Linked DNA regions of Diceros bicornis minor. The protein of the gene in region 1 interacts with the protein of each later gene in a biochemical or structural test. Links are inferred from orthologs where the notes say so. Each region holds a gene or a part of one and is shown on either strand. Other genes may lie near its edges.

The links. The genes of interacting proteins can lie anywhere in the genome.
Region 2: the proteins of TMED10 (region 1) and COPG1 form a complex in vitro, tested with the Homo sapiens proteins (2 studies listed by BioGRID). The link is inferred for Diceros bicornis minor from reciprocal best matches to the Homo sapiens genes TMED10 and COPG1.

The regions. Positions count from the first base shown.
Region 1 is NC_080763.1:23,112,620-23,120,270, reverse strand, and holds the start of TMED10 (transmembrane emp24 domain-containing protein 10), read left to right. Parts: upstream 1-4,556; 5' UTR 4,557-4,591; coding exon 4,592-4,816; intron 4,817-7,651. UniProt on the Homo sapiens protein: Cargo receptor involved in protein vesicular trafficking and quality control in the endoplasmic reticulum (ER) and Golgi.
Region 2 is NC_080741.1:89,474,305-89,481,599, forward strand, and holds the start of COPG1 (coatomer subunit gamma-1), read left to right. Parts: upstream 1-4,218; 5' UTR 4,219-4,303; coding exon 4,304-4,340; intron 4,341-5,293; coding exon 5,294-5,346; intron 5,347-5,820; coding exon 5,821-5,901; intron 5,902-6,151; coding exon 6,152-6,223; intron 6,224-6,407; coding exon 6,408-6,487; intron 6,488-7,295. UniProt on the Homo sapiens protein: The coatomer is a cytosolic protein complex that binds to dilysine motifs and reversibly associates with Golgi non-clathrin-coated vesicles, which further mediate biosynthetic protein transport from the ER, via the Golgi up to the trans Golgi network.

The DNA of each region.
Region 1 (7,651 bases):
CTCTGAAATTTAGGGGAGAGGTCAGGGCTGGAGATCCACATGTGGGAGTTATCGGCCCATGGATGCATTTAAAGTCATGAGACTGGGTGAGATCACCCAGAGTGCAGCGCAGAGGTTCCAGAACGAGGTCCTGGGGGACTCTAGAACTTAGAATCACTCTCTGTGTCAAAGAGTATGACACGACAAATATTGCCAAATTGCTTTCCAAAAGGGTCTTTTGTGTCTTCACGGAACCCATTTTGTTTTAGCTATTTAAAGACACATTGAGTGGCACTGTACACAAGGATGGGCAGGGACACCAGAGTTAGGGATCCTTGACTGCTCTTGCATTGGAGCTGGGGAGCCTCAAGTCACACCGGAGGATTATGCTGGTTACAGGAGGTGTCCAGAGGGCCAAAGCGCTTCAAGGACTCCCAACCAGAGAATCATCCAGCAAGCTTATTACAAATGCAGATTTTTAATAAGAGCTCCTGATTCACTGTCTGGGGTGAGGCATATTTTAAACATGCTCCCTGGGCCGGCCCCGTGGCTTAGCGGTTAAGTGCGCGCACTCCACCGCTGGCGGCCCAGGTTCGGATCCTGGGCGTGTATTGACACACAGCTTCTCCGGCCATGCTGAGGCCGCGTCCCACATGCAGCACCTAGAAGGATGTGCAGCTATGACATGCAACTATCTGCTGGGGCTTTGGGGAAAATAAATAAATAAATATTATAAAAATAAACAAATAAAAAAAAAATAAACATGCTCCCTCTCAAACAAAGGAAAGGTTGAGAAACTTGTGGCTTAGGGATACACTGGGTAGAGGGTATGTCCTTGTGACAGCTCTTCACCTCTGGAGGCTCCAGGGCCTTCAGGAATCTTAGGTGGGTCTGGCTGGGGAAGTTTCAGGATGATGGGATGACAGACTACTGAGCCAGGAAGAAACATTTTCTCTCCTTGTGGGACAGTTTCCTTTGCTCTCCAATTCAGAAGGAGGCCTTTTCCCCACACAGATGCAAACAGTACCTTCTGTAATGCAGATGCAGAGATTAAAAGTTTGAGTTCCCCTGAAGTATCTACTCTGCCCTCTAGTTCCACAGCGTAGAGGAGAGAATGTTTGTGTTTTTGTTTTGTGTCCTTATACGGAAACAAGAATAGATTTTTCAATCAAAAAAAAGATATGCAGGGGCCGGCCGATGGCGCAAACAGTTAAGTGCGCACGCTCCGCTGCGGTGGCCCGGGGTTTGCTGGTTCGGATCCCAGGCACACACCGACACATCGCTTGGCAAGCCATGCTGTGGCGGCGTCCCATACAAAGTGGAGGAAGATGGGCATGGATGTTAGCCCACAGCCAGTCTTCCTCAGCAAAAAGAGGAGGATTGGCAGATATTAGCTCAGGGCCGATCTTCCTCACCAAAAAAAAAAAAAAAAGATATACATATTGTTGGTGAAACTGAAATCGTACCTACACTTTAGATACATTGTGGATTAAATAAATTTGTGTGAAAATAGCTAAAGAATAACAGAAGGAATTTACTGTTAGGCCTTCTACTAGGAACTAATGAATCAATCCTGCATTCACTGAACCATTATTTATTGTGCCTTCTAAGTGCTGGGCACTATTTTAGATTCAGAAGACAAAGCAGTGGACAAAATAGACAAAAATCCCTGCCCCTCACAAAACAGATATCCTAGTTAGGGAGACAGATTAACAAACATGATAAATAAATACAGTCATCCCCTCTTCCACGTGGAGGATACATTCCGAGACCCCCAGTGGATGCCTGAAATGGCACATAGTACTGAATCCTATAGTACTTTTTTCCTATACATACAAATTTGAGGTGTGACGGCAAAATTAGCACCAATTTCTTTTTCCTTCTTTACAATTTCATGGATAGAAGATTCATTCTTACCATAGTTCTTAGCAACCTCAGCATACCAGGTTCTTATTTTTTCTTATTAAGTCGAGAACTATCACTTTTTCACTTACAGGAAGCACTTTATGGCTTCTCTTGGCATATCCAAATTGCCAGCATCACTACTCTTGCGCTTTGGGACCATTATTAAGTAAAATAAGGGTTATTTGAACACAAGCACTGCGATACCTCAACAGTCAATCTGATAACGGAGACGGCTACTAAGTCACTATCTGACGAGTGGTGTACACAGCGTGTATACGCTGGACAAAGCGATGATTCATGTCCTGGGCACGCTATTACTCAGAATGGCGGGCAATTTAAAACTTGCAAATTGTTTATTTCTGGAATTTTCCATGTAATATTTTCAGACCACTGTTGACCGAGGGTAACTGAAACTATAGAAAGCAAAACTGCAGATAAGGGGGGACTACTGTAAAATGTATGCTGTACTAGATAGTTGTGAGTGCTAAGGAGCGGAACATAAAGGAGGGAAGCAAAACAGGAAAGAGTTGGGGGTCTGGATAAGTGAGAATATAGGACAAGAAAGGACTTGAGAGCTGTGATTCAGGAAAGTAACTCAATTTCTCTAAGTCTCAGTTTCTTTATCTGCAAAATAATAAATAATAGCGCCTTCCTGAAAAAGGCTCAGGGCCTCAGACTGACTGTGTCACCTTACTGTGAGACTTTGGGGACAAAAGTTCTTTGGCCTCTCAGAACCTAAGTTTCCTCATCTGTAAAAGGAACAGACTTGCCCAGCCTATGTCTCATGGCTTTTGAAAATGTCAAATGAGATAATTAATGTATGAAAAAATATTTTAAAACATATAAGCTATTACAGAAATGTAAGATAGGAGGAGCTGGCCCCGTGGCTTAGCGGTTAAGTGCGCGCGCTCCACTACTGGCGGCCCGGGTTCGGATCCCCGGCGCGCACCGACGCACCGCTTCTCCGGCCATGCTGAGGCCGCGTCCCACATACAGCAACTAGAAGGATGTTCAACTATGACATACAACTATCTACTGGGGCTTTGGGGATAAAAAGGGGAAAAAAAAAAAAGAGGAGGATTGGCAATAGATGTTAGCTCAGGGCCCATCTTCCTCAGCAAAAAGAGGAGGATTGGCATGGATGTTAGCTCAGGGCTGATCTTCCTTACAAAAAAAAAAAAAAATGTAAGATAGAAATTTATGGGTTGCAAAGCTCTTGCAGATGGTCACCAGAGCCTCAGGACTCTGAGAAAACAATGAATTAGATAACTGCTTGATACTGATTCCCTGCACTGGCAGAGAAAAGGCTAACACAAATTATCAGGATGGACTGAGTAGACCAGCAATCTTATCTTACATCAGGGATAAAATAATCAAACTAAATGTTCCTAAGTGGACACCTCATAAAATAATTTTTATATGACATTTGTCAAATTTTAAAATGCTTTACAGCTCCTTTATGTTTGTTCTTGTTTTGTTTGTCGGACTTCAGTTCCAGGAAAAGAACTAGATGGACAAAGGAGTTACAAATACAGAGCAATCATTTAAATTACTAAGAGCAGATAGTCCATCTTCTGGGTTTTTCTGCAGATGCTCAACAAATATTAATCAAAGCAGATTATTCCAAACATAGGCTGTTGTGTATTCCTTTTTCATCTTCATATTTTCTGCAGCCATGAAAATTTGATAGCATCCCAGTGGTGGTGTGTTAAATCAACAAACATGTTGGTATACCTGCATGGTATAGTGGCTGGCACATACTAGGTATTCAGCAAATATTTGTTAAACTAAAGCAAGAATGATTACTGTGTAAATTTGCTTACTATAGACCAGCCAATTTGATTCCTAAAGTGTTTGGGCATTTAACACACAGAAATACTTGCTTTCCCTTGACGACACTTACCTGGTAAACCGCATTAGGTCCATCTCTCAGGCTGGACTAAAACAGAGTGTTTTATTCAATTTAAATACAAAATCCAAATTTAGTTTGAGTATTGCCTACCATCGTAGGCGCTCAATGTTTGCTAAATAAGATACACATTCAGAAAGCAGTTACTCCAGCCCAAATACCCCGCTCAAGAGCATGAACTGGACGCCTGCCCAGCTCACATTCACCAGGAGACCTCTACATTCTCTGAGGTACTGGCTCCCCTCGCCTGATAACCGAATTATAATCTGTCGTTCAGCCTCTCGACGTTTTCCTCTCAAGCGCCCAACGTCCCAGCTGTCACCAAGGCGGCGTGGTGCTGGGACAGCTCACTCTCCACCTCCGCCGCAGCCCCCGCCCCGCGCGCTTCCGCGGCCGATGGGCGGGCCCAGCGAAGTGCCTTGTGGCTGTTTCCTATTGGGACTTGGTTGCTATGGTATCACCGACCTTAAAACACGACCGGCACTGCTTCCGGAAGTTAAAGGAGAATTACTTCCAGGGCTGCACATACTTGCTATGGCCAACTGAGCCGTCACTAATGTCAAAAAAAATAAAACTTTTGCGGGAAACTCCTAGAAAATCTTACTTAACCACTTTAATTTGTGGTACAACGTGTTATTATATCCTTTCTTCCCTTTTAAAATATTTACAATATAGTCTTCTTTTATTTGCCAGTCTCCAAAATGGCGCTGACGGCATGGGAAGGTCAGAGGTGAGTCACGTGGGCCGTCCCGGTTCCGGCGCGGTAGAGGCCCGGGGTGGTGAACAGTCTCCGGCACCATGTCTGGTTTGTCTGGCCCACAGGCGCACGGTGGCCCTTGCCGGTTAGCGTTGCTGCTTTTACTCCTGCTCGGCCCCAGCTCGGTCCTCGCCATCTCCTTCCATCTGCCCGTTAACGCCCGCAAGTGCCTCCGCGAGGAGATCCACAAGGACCTGCTGGTGACCGGCGCGTACGAGATCACCGACCAGTCTGGGGGCGCTGGCGGCCTGCGCACCCACCTCAAGGTGCGGCTCCGGGCGGCGCGGGGCGGGGAGGGCAGACCGCAGGCGTCGGCCAGCCGAGGCCGAGGATGCGGGGGGTGTGGGGGAGGTCCGGCGGGCGGAGGCCTGGAGGGCGGCGTGGCCTCCCCCGAGCGCGAAGGGCGCGCCGTGGAGACCGCCCCCTCACCCTGCTCGTTGGCGTTCGCGGGGCGGAGCTGGGCGCCAAAGCCCCGGGAACCCGTGGAAGGGCCGCGAGGCCTCGGCAGATGTGGCGACAGCTGAGCTAGGGCGGCCTAGACTTTGGGTCGTGGTCAAGGTCCTATACCAGTTCTGGTCTGAGGTACCTTGAGCTGTAGCTTGGTTTTCCAAAGAAGTCTTTGGATGTTGAGTATTTCTGGGGATTGGCGTCATAAGACACATTGATACCTGCAGGAGAATAATGGACGCACTGAAGCTTACTGTGAATAACAAAACCTATTATTGTTGGAGCTTTAGTTGTGTGTCAGGTCCTGTGCTACCTTACGTATATTACCGTTTAGTTCACACACTACCCTATGAAGTAGGTACTGTTCGTCTCATTGTACACATGAGGAGACTGAGGCTCTGGTAGGTAGTAGAATAAACTGATGTCAGAGCGGGAATTGATTCTTAGTTTGGGAGTTAAGTAAGGTGAAGGAAAAGTGCTACAATCTTACTCTCTCTTGGCTTTTTATTTTTAATTCCTGTGATTGATTAAAATTAATTATTGGTCACAGAATGGTCTCAGTCTCTAGTCATTTTCTGGTACCCCAGAATCTGGACTTGGCCAAGTTTTATGTAAATTTCGACGATACTCTTGGATAGTGACAACTACTACCATGATGCCAATTTGGTCCCATTTTGCAGTTAGGATGACAGGGCCTAATCTTTGAAACTTTATTATGGTTTGATATCAGTCAAGATTTGATTGCGTTTTAGGTAACTTGATTCATTCACGGTAAGCATGTGTTTTGTTTTTAACAGAATGGGTTTTAGATCAAATAGGAAAAAACATTTTTACTTTTTAATAGAGCTTCAGGTATAATAAGACCATAATTTATGTTTAAGGTATTGGAACCCAGTAGTGGTAATAGACGCAATTTACTTATACTTTATTTAGGAGATTAAAAAAACATTGTTTTCAGGGGTATTGCTGAGTGACCCATCCTTTTATTACTTTCTTCAGGTACCAAACTTCTGTCTGGACAAGACAGCTGTGATGGCATAATTTTGGAGACATAACATTTTGGGGGTCATGCTTCTGGCTCTTCAAAGTGTAGTGCATAGAATCAGAGAATTTGACTGATGAAAGAGACTTTACTCTTATCTCCAGTGTTGCCCCCTCTGATTTGTACTTACATTTTAAAACCCTTCAGTGGCTCACTGTTGCTCATCTGATAAAGTTTAAATTTCCCAGCATGCTCTGTAGTGCTCTTCATGGTCTGTTCCTGAAACTGTTTATACTTTGTCACTCCCTACATTGCATTTTGCATATGAGCCACCCTGAACAGTACCCTAAACTCACACAAATTTTTCTTAATTGTAACTACTTATGTTTATACCTTGTCTTCTTTATTAGACTGTTAGTATCCTGAGGACAGGAATTATTTTCATGTTTGTATTTTCCAGAATGTCAAGCGTACTGCCTTGCTTCTAGTAAGCACTTAATACAGAATGCATAGTGTAGCATGACCTTGTGGGATTTACATCTCTATCCAAGACTGCTGAAGGGGCTTCAACAGCAGGAGTCTGCACATCTGTTCGCTAGCATTTTGCCCGTCACTCTGTTCCTTTTGCCGTGTCTGCTCTGTTCTCCTGTGACTAACCAGTTTAGTTGGACTACTCCTGGCGTCCTAAACCCAAATGCCAAGTAGGTTACATAAGTGAATGAATTGGGCCAGGTATAAGAAAGACAGCAGCAGTGGTGATAAATGGGGGATAATTGGGAGTAGGGGAAACTGTTAATTTGGAGTGGCCAGTACTCATCTCTTGTTGTCGGCCTTGTTGCCACATCTGATTTTTCAGATGAAGTCAGAAATCCAGATTTTGATGTGAAAGCTCCTGATTTTTAAATGTCACCAACTAATTCAAATTGGTTTTGGCATTGGTTTGTTTTCAGTTTTATAGAGAAGAGTACGGTCAGTCCAACATTTACACATGACCCAGATTCAACAGTTATCAGGGTCGTGCCACACTTGTGTCTTAATTGCTTCCGCCTTCTCATTTTATGCTGAATCGTTTTATTTTTTTTTTAAAGATTTTATTTATTTATTTATTCCCCCCCCCCCCCAAAGCCCCAGTAGATAGTCGTATGTCATAGCTGCACATCCTTATAGTTGCTGTATGTGGGACACGGCCTCAGCATGGCCGGAGAAGCGGTGCATCGGTGCGCACCCGGGATCCGAACCTGGGTCGCCAGCAGTGGAGCGCGCTCACTTAACCGCTAAGCCACGGGGCTGGCCCTGCTGAATCGTTTTAAAGTAAATCCCAGATATCATGGTATTTCAGTCCTGCATACTTCAGCGTGAATCTCTTAAAAAATATGAGCATAATCACAGTGTTATGTGTCTCTAATCACATCTCACAAAATTAACAATAATTCCTTAATGCCATCTAATAATACCCAGTTCATATTCAAATTTCTTCACTTGTCTCAAAAATATCCATTTAAAATTAATCTGTTGTATTTCTCAAGTCTCTTTAATCTAGAGCAATCCACTCTTCCTTTTTTTCATGCTTGTTGTGTTGTTGGAGTCAGTTGTCCTTAAAGAATGTCCTACATTTTGGATTTGTCTGTTTGCTTCCGTGAGGCGTCATTGAACCCATTCTGTCCCCTGTATT
Region 2 (7,295 bases), on another chromosome or scaffold:
GGGGCGTTGGGGTGGGGGTGGTTGTGGTGAGGGTGGTGAGAAGGTACCATAGAAATAATCTCTGCTTTTTTTAAATTAAAATTTTATTGAGATAATTGTAGATTCATGAGCAGTTGTAAGAAATAATACAGAGAGATGCTGTGTACTTTACCCAGTTTCCCCCAATGGTAACGTCTTGCAGAACTATAGTATACAGATCAACGGAATAGAAGCAAGAGTCCAGAAACAAACCTATACCTTATGGTCAATTGATTTTTGACAAAGGTGATGACACAATTCAATAAGGGAAAGAATAGTCTTTTCAACAAATGGTGCTAGGACAACTGGACATCAAGAAGCAAAAGAATGAAGTTGGACCCCTATCTCACACCATATACAAAAACTAACTCAAAACTGACCAAAGACCTAAATGTAAGAGGTAAAACTATAAAACTCTTAGAAAAAAACATAGAGATAAATCTTCATGACCTTGGTTTAAGCAATGATTTGTGTGTGTGTGTGTGTGAGGAAGATCAGCCCTGAGCTAATACCTGATGCCAATTCTCCTCTTTTTTTTTTGCTGAGGAAGACTGGCCCTGGGCTAACATCCGTGCCCATCTTCCTCTACTTTATACGGGATGCCGCCACAGCACGGCTTGACAAGCAGTGCATTGGTCCATGCCTGGGATCCAAACCTGTGAACCCCGGGCTGCCAAAGCAGAGCATGCAAACTTAACCACTACGCCCCGGGGTGGCTCTGAAGCAATGATTTCTTATATATGACACCAAAAGCACAAGCAACAAAGAAAAATAAATAAATCGGACCTCATCAAAATAAAAAACTTCTGGGGGCCAGCCCTGTGGCATAGTGGTTAAGTGTGTGCGCTCTGTTGCTGGCGGCCTGGGTTTGGATCCCGGGTGCGCACTGATGCACTGCTTGTCAGGCCATGCTGTGGCGGCGTCCCATATGAAGTGGAGGAAGATAGTCACAGATGTTAGCCCAGGGCCAGTCTTCCTCAGCAAAAAAGAGGAGGATTGCCATGGATGTTAGCTCAGGGCTGATCTTCCTCACACACACACACACACACACACACACACACACACACAAATAAATTAAATAAATAAATAAATAAAACACTTCTGTGCTTCAAAGCGCACTATAAAGAAAGTGAAAAGACAACCCATAGAATGGGAGAAAATATTTGCAAATCCTATATCTGATAAGGGTCTAGCATCCAGAATATATAAAGAACTCTTACAACTCTAAGGTAAAAAGATAAGTAACCCGGAGCTGGCCCTGTGGCACAGCGGTTAAGTGCGTGTGCTCCGCTTCCGTGGCCCTGGGTTTGCAGGTTCGGATCCCGGACGTGCACAGATGACTGCTTGTCAAGCCATGCTGTGGCGGCGTCCCACATAAAGTAAAGGAAGATGGGCATGGATGTTAGCCCAGGGCCAGTCTTCCTCAGCAAAAAAGAGGAGGGTTGGCGTTGGATATTATCTCAGGGCTGGTCTTCCTCACACACACAAAAAAGAAAAGATAAGTAACCCAATTTTGAAACGGGCAAAGGATGTGAATAGACATTTCTTCAAAGAAGATATACAAATGGCCAGTAAGCACCTGAAAAGATGTTCAACATCTTTAACCATCAGGGAAATGCAAATTAAAACTACAATGAGGTACTACATCATACCCACTAGGATGGCTATAACCAAAAAGACAATAACAAGTGTGAGCAAGGATGTAGAGAAATTGGAACCCTTATTGCTGGTGGGAATATAAAGTGGTGCTGATGCAGTTTCTCAAAAAGTTAAATATAGTTATCATATGACCCAGCATTTTTACTCCTAGGTATATACTCAAGAGAAAACATACGTCACACAAAAACTTGTACACAAATGTTTGAAACAGCATTATTCACAGCCAAAAAGTGGAAACCCAAATGTCCATCAACTGATATATGGATAAACAAAATACGGTACATCCATAAAATGGAATATTATTCAGCAATAAAAAGGAATGAAGTACTGATTCATGCTACGACATGGACAGACCTTGAAAACATTATGCTAAGTGAAAGAAGCCAGACACACAATAGGCCACATATTGTATGATTTCATTTATATGAAATATTCAGAATAGGCAAATCCATAGAGACAGAAAGTAGATTCACAGTTTTGGGGGTATCAGGAAGGAGAGTGAGGAATGGAAAAAGACCGCTAATGCATACAGGTTTCTTTTGGGCATGATGAAAATGTCCTGGAATTAGTGATGACGGGTACACAGCTTTTTGAATATACTAGGAACCACTGAATTGTATACTTTAAAAGGGTGAATTTTATGGTATGTGGATTATTTCTCAATTTTTAAATACTAGTAAAATTATTAAATACTATCATAACCAGGATATGGATATTGGTACAACCTCCCAATCGTCTTAAAATGTCCCTGGTTTCTCCTGTACTTTCAGTGTTCTCTGTTTCTACAAAGGACTTAGTGATTATCTACAAAGGACTTAGTGACTATCACGAAGAATGTATATTACATTTAAAAAATAATAAAAACCCTACAATTATACATACTTAGAGCTGGAGTCACAACACACAATTCTCATTCTCAGAAAGGTATTGTCAAAATTGTCCTTGGTATCTAGTTTTATAGAATTAATATCATAACAGGATATTTTAACCTAACACAACTCATCTGTATTTCATCATCTTAACACAACAATCCAAATCTCTGGGGTTCTTTTCTGGTTTTTAACCACGAGGCATCTTTATTTCACCTTAATTATGAATACTTTTACACTCTGCTTTTCTTGTTTAATGTCTCATTTATTATAAGAAGTTTGCATATTGCCTCCCAAGTGGTCAGAAATTCATTTATCCCTTTATAAAGGGTGTGGAATATTTCATCCAATAGACATACCATAATTCCCTTAATCATCCCCTTATTGCTGGGCATTTAGAGTGTTTTCAATTATCTTGCTGCAAACTGCTGCAGTGGGCACCTTTATTTTCTTCTTTTGGATGATTTCCCCGGATAAGGGGTGGGGTTTCTGGTTAAAGATTTTGAACATCTTTCCGGCTCTTGACAATTTCACGTTGGCACAAGATCTCCTCTCCCCATCCCCTGCTTTTCCCCAGCCACCAGACTCAGCCTCCGCAAAGTCTGACCCCAAAGGGTGGCCCCTCTGCCATCACCCCTCCTCCCACTTTGCTGTCACCCCCTTCTGCTTCACCCGCCAGCCTCTGCCCCCGCCTCCTGCCGCGCCTCTCCACCTCTGGCTCACCAGGGCTCCTTCTCCTCGTCGCTGGGCTTCAGGCTGCCCTCTCCCCAGGAAAGCTGGTGCCACGCGTCGCAGCGCTGGGTCATCCTGACTCGGCTTTGCCGTAGCAAATGCAATTTGGCACGTCTGCACGCACCGTCCTTACCTTGGCCTCGAGGTGTTCTGCGTAGGTCCCCAGGAAGATACACCCTGCGTGACGTTTCGTTTTCCCCTTCCAGTCCCTTCCTGTCCCCAGCGCTAAGCGGCGGATCTAGTAAGGTGCTCGATAAATACCCAAAAAAGCAACATTGAAGTCTCTATGCTGATCTTTTATTTTAGTTGGATTCCTGAAAGTCAACAAAATACAAAACAATTTGCACCAAGAGCAGATGTGATAGGGAGTGGGCAGATATGAATTATAAGAGCAAGTTCATGCATTAATTCGCTCAAGAATTTACTGAGCACCTGCTACATGCCAACGTCATCCACGGCAGAGAATAAAAGACAATAAAAGCAATAAAGTAAGAATACAGTGTTAGGTGGTGATTCGAGCTAGGAAAAAAAATCAGGCAGGAGAAGGGGACTGAAAGTGAGGAGTGGCTAGCGAGAGCTCCCGAGAATGTGACAATAATAACAACCACAGGTATCATTAACTGGGTGTCTGCTCCGGGCCGGTGTGCTGCGGGGCCTCACCTCCGAAAGCCAGTTTAAACTCCCGCCACAACGCAGTGAGGCAGGGACGACTACTACTCCCACTGTACGATAAGGGGGGCTCAAGGCGCAGAGTTAGGGTGCCCAGTCTGAGGCCTCCACCTGCCTGCCGCCCCCCCCAGCCCTCGGCCCCGGCTCCCCAGCCTCCCCGGCCGGGACAGGGTTAACGTCGGACGGGGCTGCGCGTCCGGAATATGCGCGTGCGCAGAGCTCAGAGTGCGCGTGCGCAGAGCGCAGGGCTACGTGGCCAGCCGGAAGTGGCCTGTGCGGAACCGCCGCAGTGTCTCTGTTGGTCGCTGCTACGTCCCAGGACAGAGTTACTGTGTTGCGCCCTCGCCGGCACCACCATGCTGAAGAAATTCGACAAGAAGGACGAGGAATCAGGTGAGGAGTCCCATGCCTGTGCTTAGGCCTAGGGGAGGCCGGACCCCCGCGCAGGCTCTCAGCATCCTCCCTGGGAGCCCTCCGTTGGGGCCTCTGTCCTATCCGAGGCCGAGGCCCAATGAGGGGGCCCCCTCGGCAGGGGCATGTGCGAAGGTCCACCGCTGGTCAGTGGCAGGCCTCGGAGAGCCCGAGCATGCTCCACGGCCCTTCCACTCGCAAGCTTGGGCTGCGATTCTCTGGGTGACCATGGGCGCGTCACGCGCCTCTCTGGGCCTCAGTTTCCCCATCTGTCAGGGGAGGGGACCGAGCCAGATGCTCCTTTGTTGTTTTCTCCATCCGAACTCTTGGGATTCGCCGGGGCTGCGTTGGTGTTGTCCAAACTGGGGCGCAGTCTGCGGAGCCGGTGTCCAGTGGCTGAGAACCCTGACTCTTTCATTCTTTTACTCAGCAAACGTATGTTGAGTGCTTACTGCATGCCACGCACGGTATTGTGTCCTGATACTGCAGTAGAACAAGTGAGACACTCAGTGCTTGAGCTGGGAATTTTAGAATGATAGCAGGCATAGTGGAGAAGGCAGAGATGGATCAGATAATCACACATGTAATTAATTACAAATGTGACACGTGCTGTGAAGGAACCCTAGTTACTGGGGAGATGGTGGTCCCTGCACACAGTAGGGACTCAGTTAGGTACCAATTGCATAAATGAATGCAAAGCAGGACACTATGAGAGGAACAGAAGGATGGTCCCAGGGCCGCTAGGTGACTGTGAGTAAGTGGTTTGGGGTAGAGTGGAGCCCCCTTGCAGGAGAGCTGTTGTATCTATAGGCAGATTGTAAAGCTTTGATTGCCATGCCAGAGGAGTTGCAACTTGACTAGGTAGACGATAGGGACATCTTGCTAGAATTCAGGGTCATAACCTGAATTTGGTCTTCTCTGTTCTCTGACTGTAGGTGGAGGCTCCAACCCATTCCAGCACCTTGAGAAGAGTGCAGTACTCCAGGAGGCAAGTGTCGTTTGCTCCCCTGTATCTTCCATCATAAATGTTCATGATTGCATAAATGTTCATGATTGATGCGATCGAAATACTAATACATTCAAACTGCTGGTTTAAAAAACAATAGGAGAGAAACCTGTTCCTGGAAAGACAGAAAAACTTTGTTCCTGAAGAGAGTTCGTTATGCTGACACTTTTGTTGTTGTTGTTCTTCATTTCTCTTTCTAGTTAACAAGTGTTTACTAGTATCTGTTAGTCAATAAGTCAGCGCATTCCTAATTAATATTTAGGGAAGATTTCAGGAGTTGTTAATAGATGAATTAAGAGGAAAAAACCAAAACTCTTTCCTTATGAGAATAAGCTTGTCTAGGCAAGTGTATTTATGTATTCCAGGTCTTCTCAGACATTGAATGTGCTTGAGGGGAGTCAATGGAAGGGAAATAAGTTGGGCTGGAGGTTAATATCCTTGGTCACTTCTTCTCAGGCCCGTGTATTTAACGAAACTCCCATCAACCCTCGGAAATGTGCCCATATCCTCACCAAGATCCTTTACCTCATAAACCAGGTAACAGGGTGAGACTTGAGGTTGGGGAAAACGGTATTGGGGGATGTTGGGAGTTGCCTAAGGGCTGTTTGACAGCCACCGTGTGGTTATAACCAATGGCCCAGCTCTGGGTCCCCTCAGCGTCCAACTCTGATATGTTGCCTTTAATGGAACCTCTGCACGGTCTGAGGATCCATCCTGGGCTGATTTGGCAGGAAGGGCCTTCTGGCCCCTTTGTCCCAGGCTGAGACTTCTTTCTTGATTAAAATAGGGGGAGCACCTGGGGACCACTGAAGCAACGGAGGCCTTCTTTGCCATGACCAAGCTCTTTCAGTCCAACGATGTAAGTGCCCCACCCCCAGATTTCCTCAAGAGGGGACAGCTGTGACAGGGTGGTGGGAGGGCCAGGGGAAGGTGACTCCATCTGTCAGTGTGGACTGCCTTTGTGTCGATTGGAGTTTTCTTTTCCTTTCCCTGGCCCTCATGCTGAGCCAGGGGTCATAGGGCTTTTCCCATCTCTTTTCCAGCCCACCCTCCGTCGGATGTGCTACTTAACCATCAAGGAGATGTCTTGCATCGCAGAGGATGTCATCATTGTCACCAGCAGGTGAGTCTTGGGTCTGTGGATGGCTCCTCTGATGGGTTCCATTGATACAGAGGCCATTTTTTGCCATGTGTACCAGGTCATGAGACTTTTGTTTGACATATTGCCAGGCACCCTTTCCTCTTCTGTCTCCCTCATCCTTCAGTTACTGCTGTCCATCCCATAGCAGCCTCCAGAGTGTGTGCTGTTTCCCTTTTCATTCTCTGGTCTTAACTTGGGAGCAAACCCTTCATTTACTTGATTCCTCTTAGTCAACTGAGCCAGCGTGGAACTTTCACAAAGACTTTAGTGAGTGTTCAGAGAGAACACAAGAAAAACAGACATAGAGAATGCAAGAGTATACAATTAGGCTTGCTTACCCAGTACTGGTTTCTGCATTAGGCTGAGTGATTCAGGGGACAGATGTGACTGAGGTATAGTCCCTCCCCTTAAGAACTGGGGCTTAATTCTCTTATTTCTTCCTGCAACATGTTTTGTGGGGGGATGTTATATATTCACTTGTAGGTCTATTTACAAAATAGTTATTGAGTGTTTACCAGTCCCTGTGGGTAGCTCTGGGAATAGAGCAGCAAACAAGACAGACATGGCCTCTGCAGCCCCAGAATTTACAGAGAAATAAGCAGGCAGTGGGCCCTTAAGATTGAGTAGATTACGGTTTATTGTGGGAAGTATGATGGGCTGTGAGAGCAGACCACGGGGCTCCCCAACTTGAATTCGGATCAGGAAAGGCCTCCTAGAACTGTCTGAGTGGCGTCTTGAAGGATGAGTGAGAGATAGCAGGACGGTGGTGGAAGTGAGGGGTAGGGTGTGC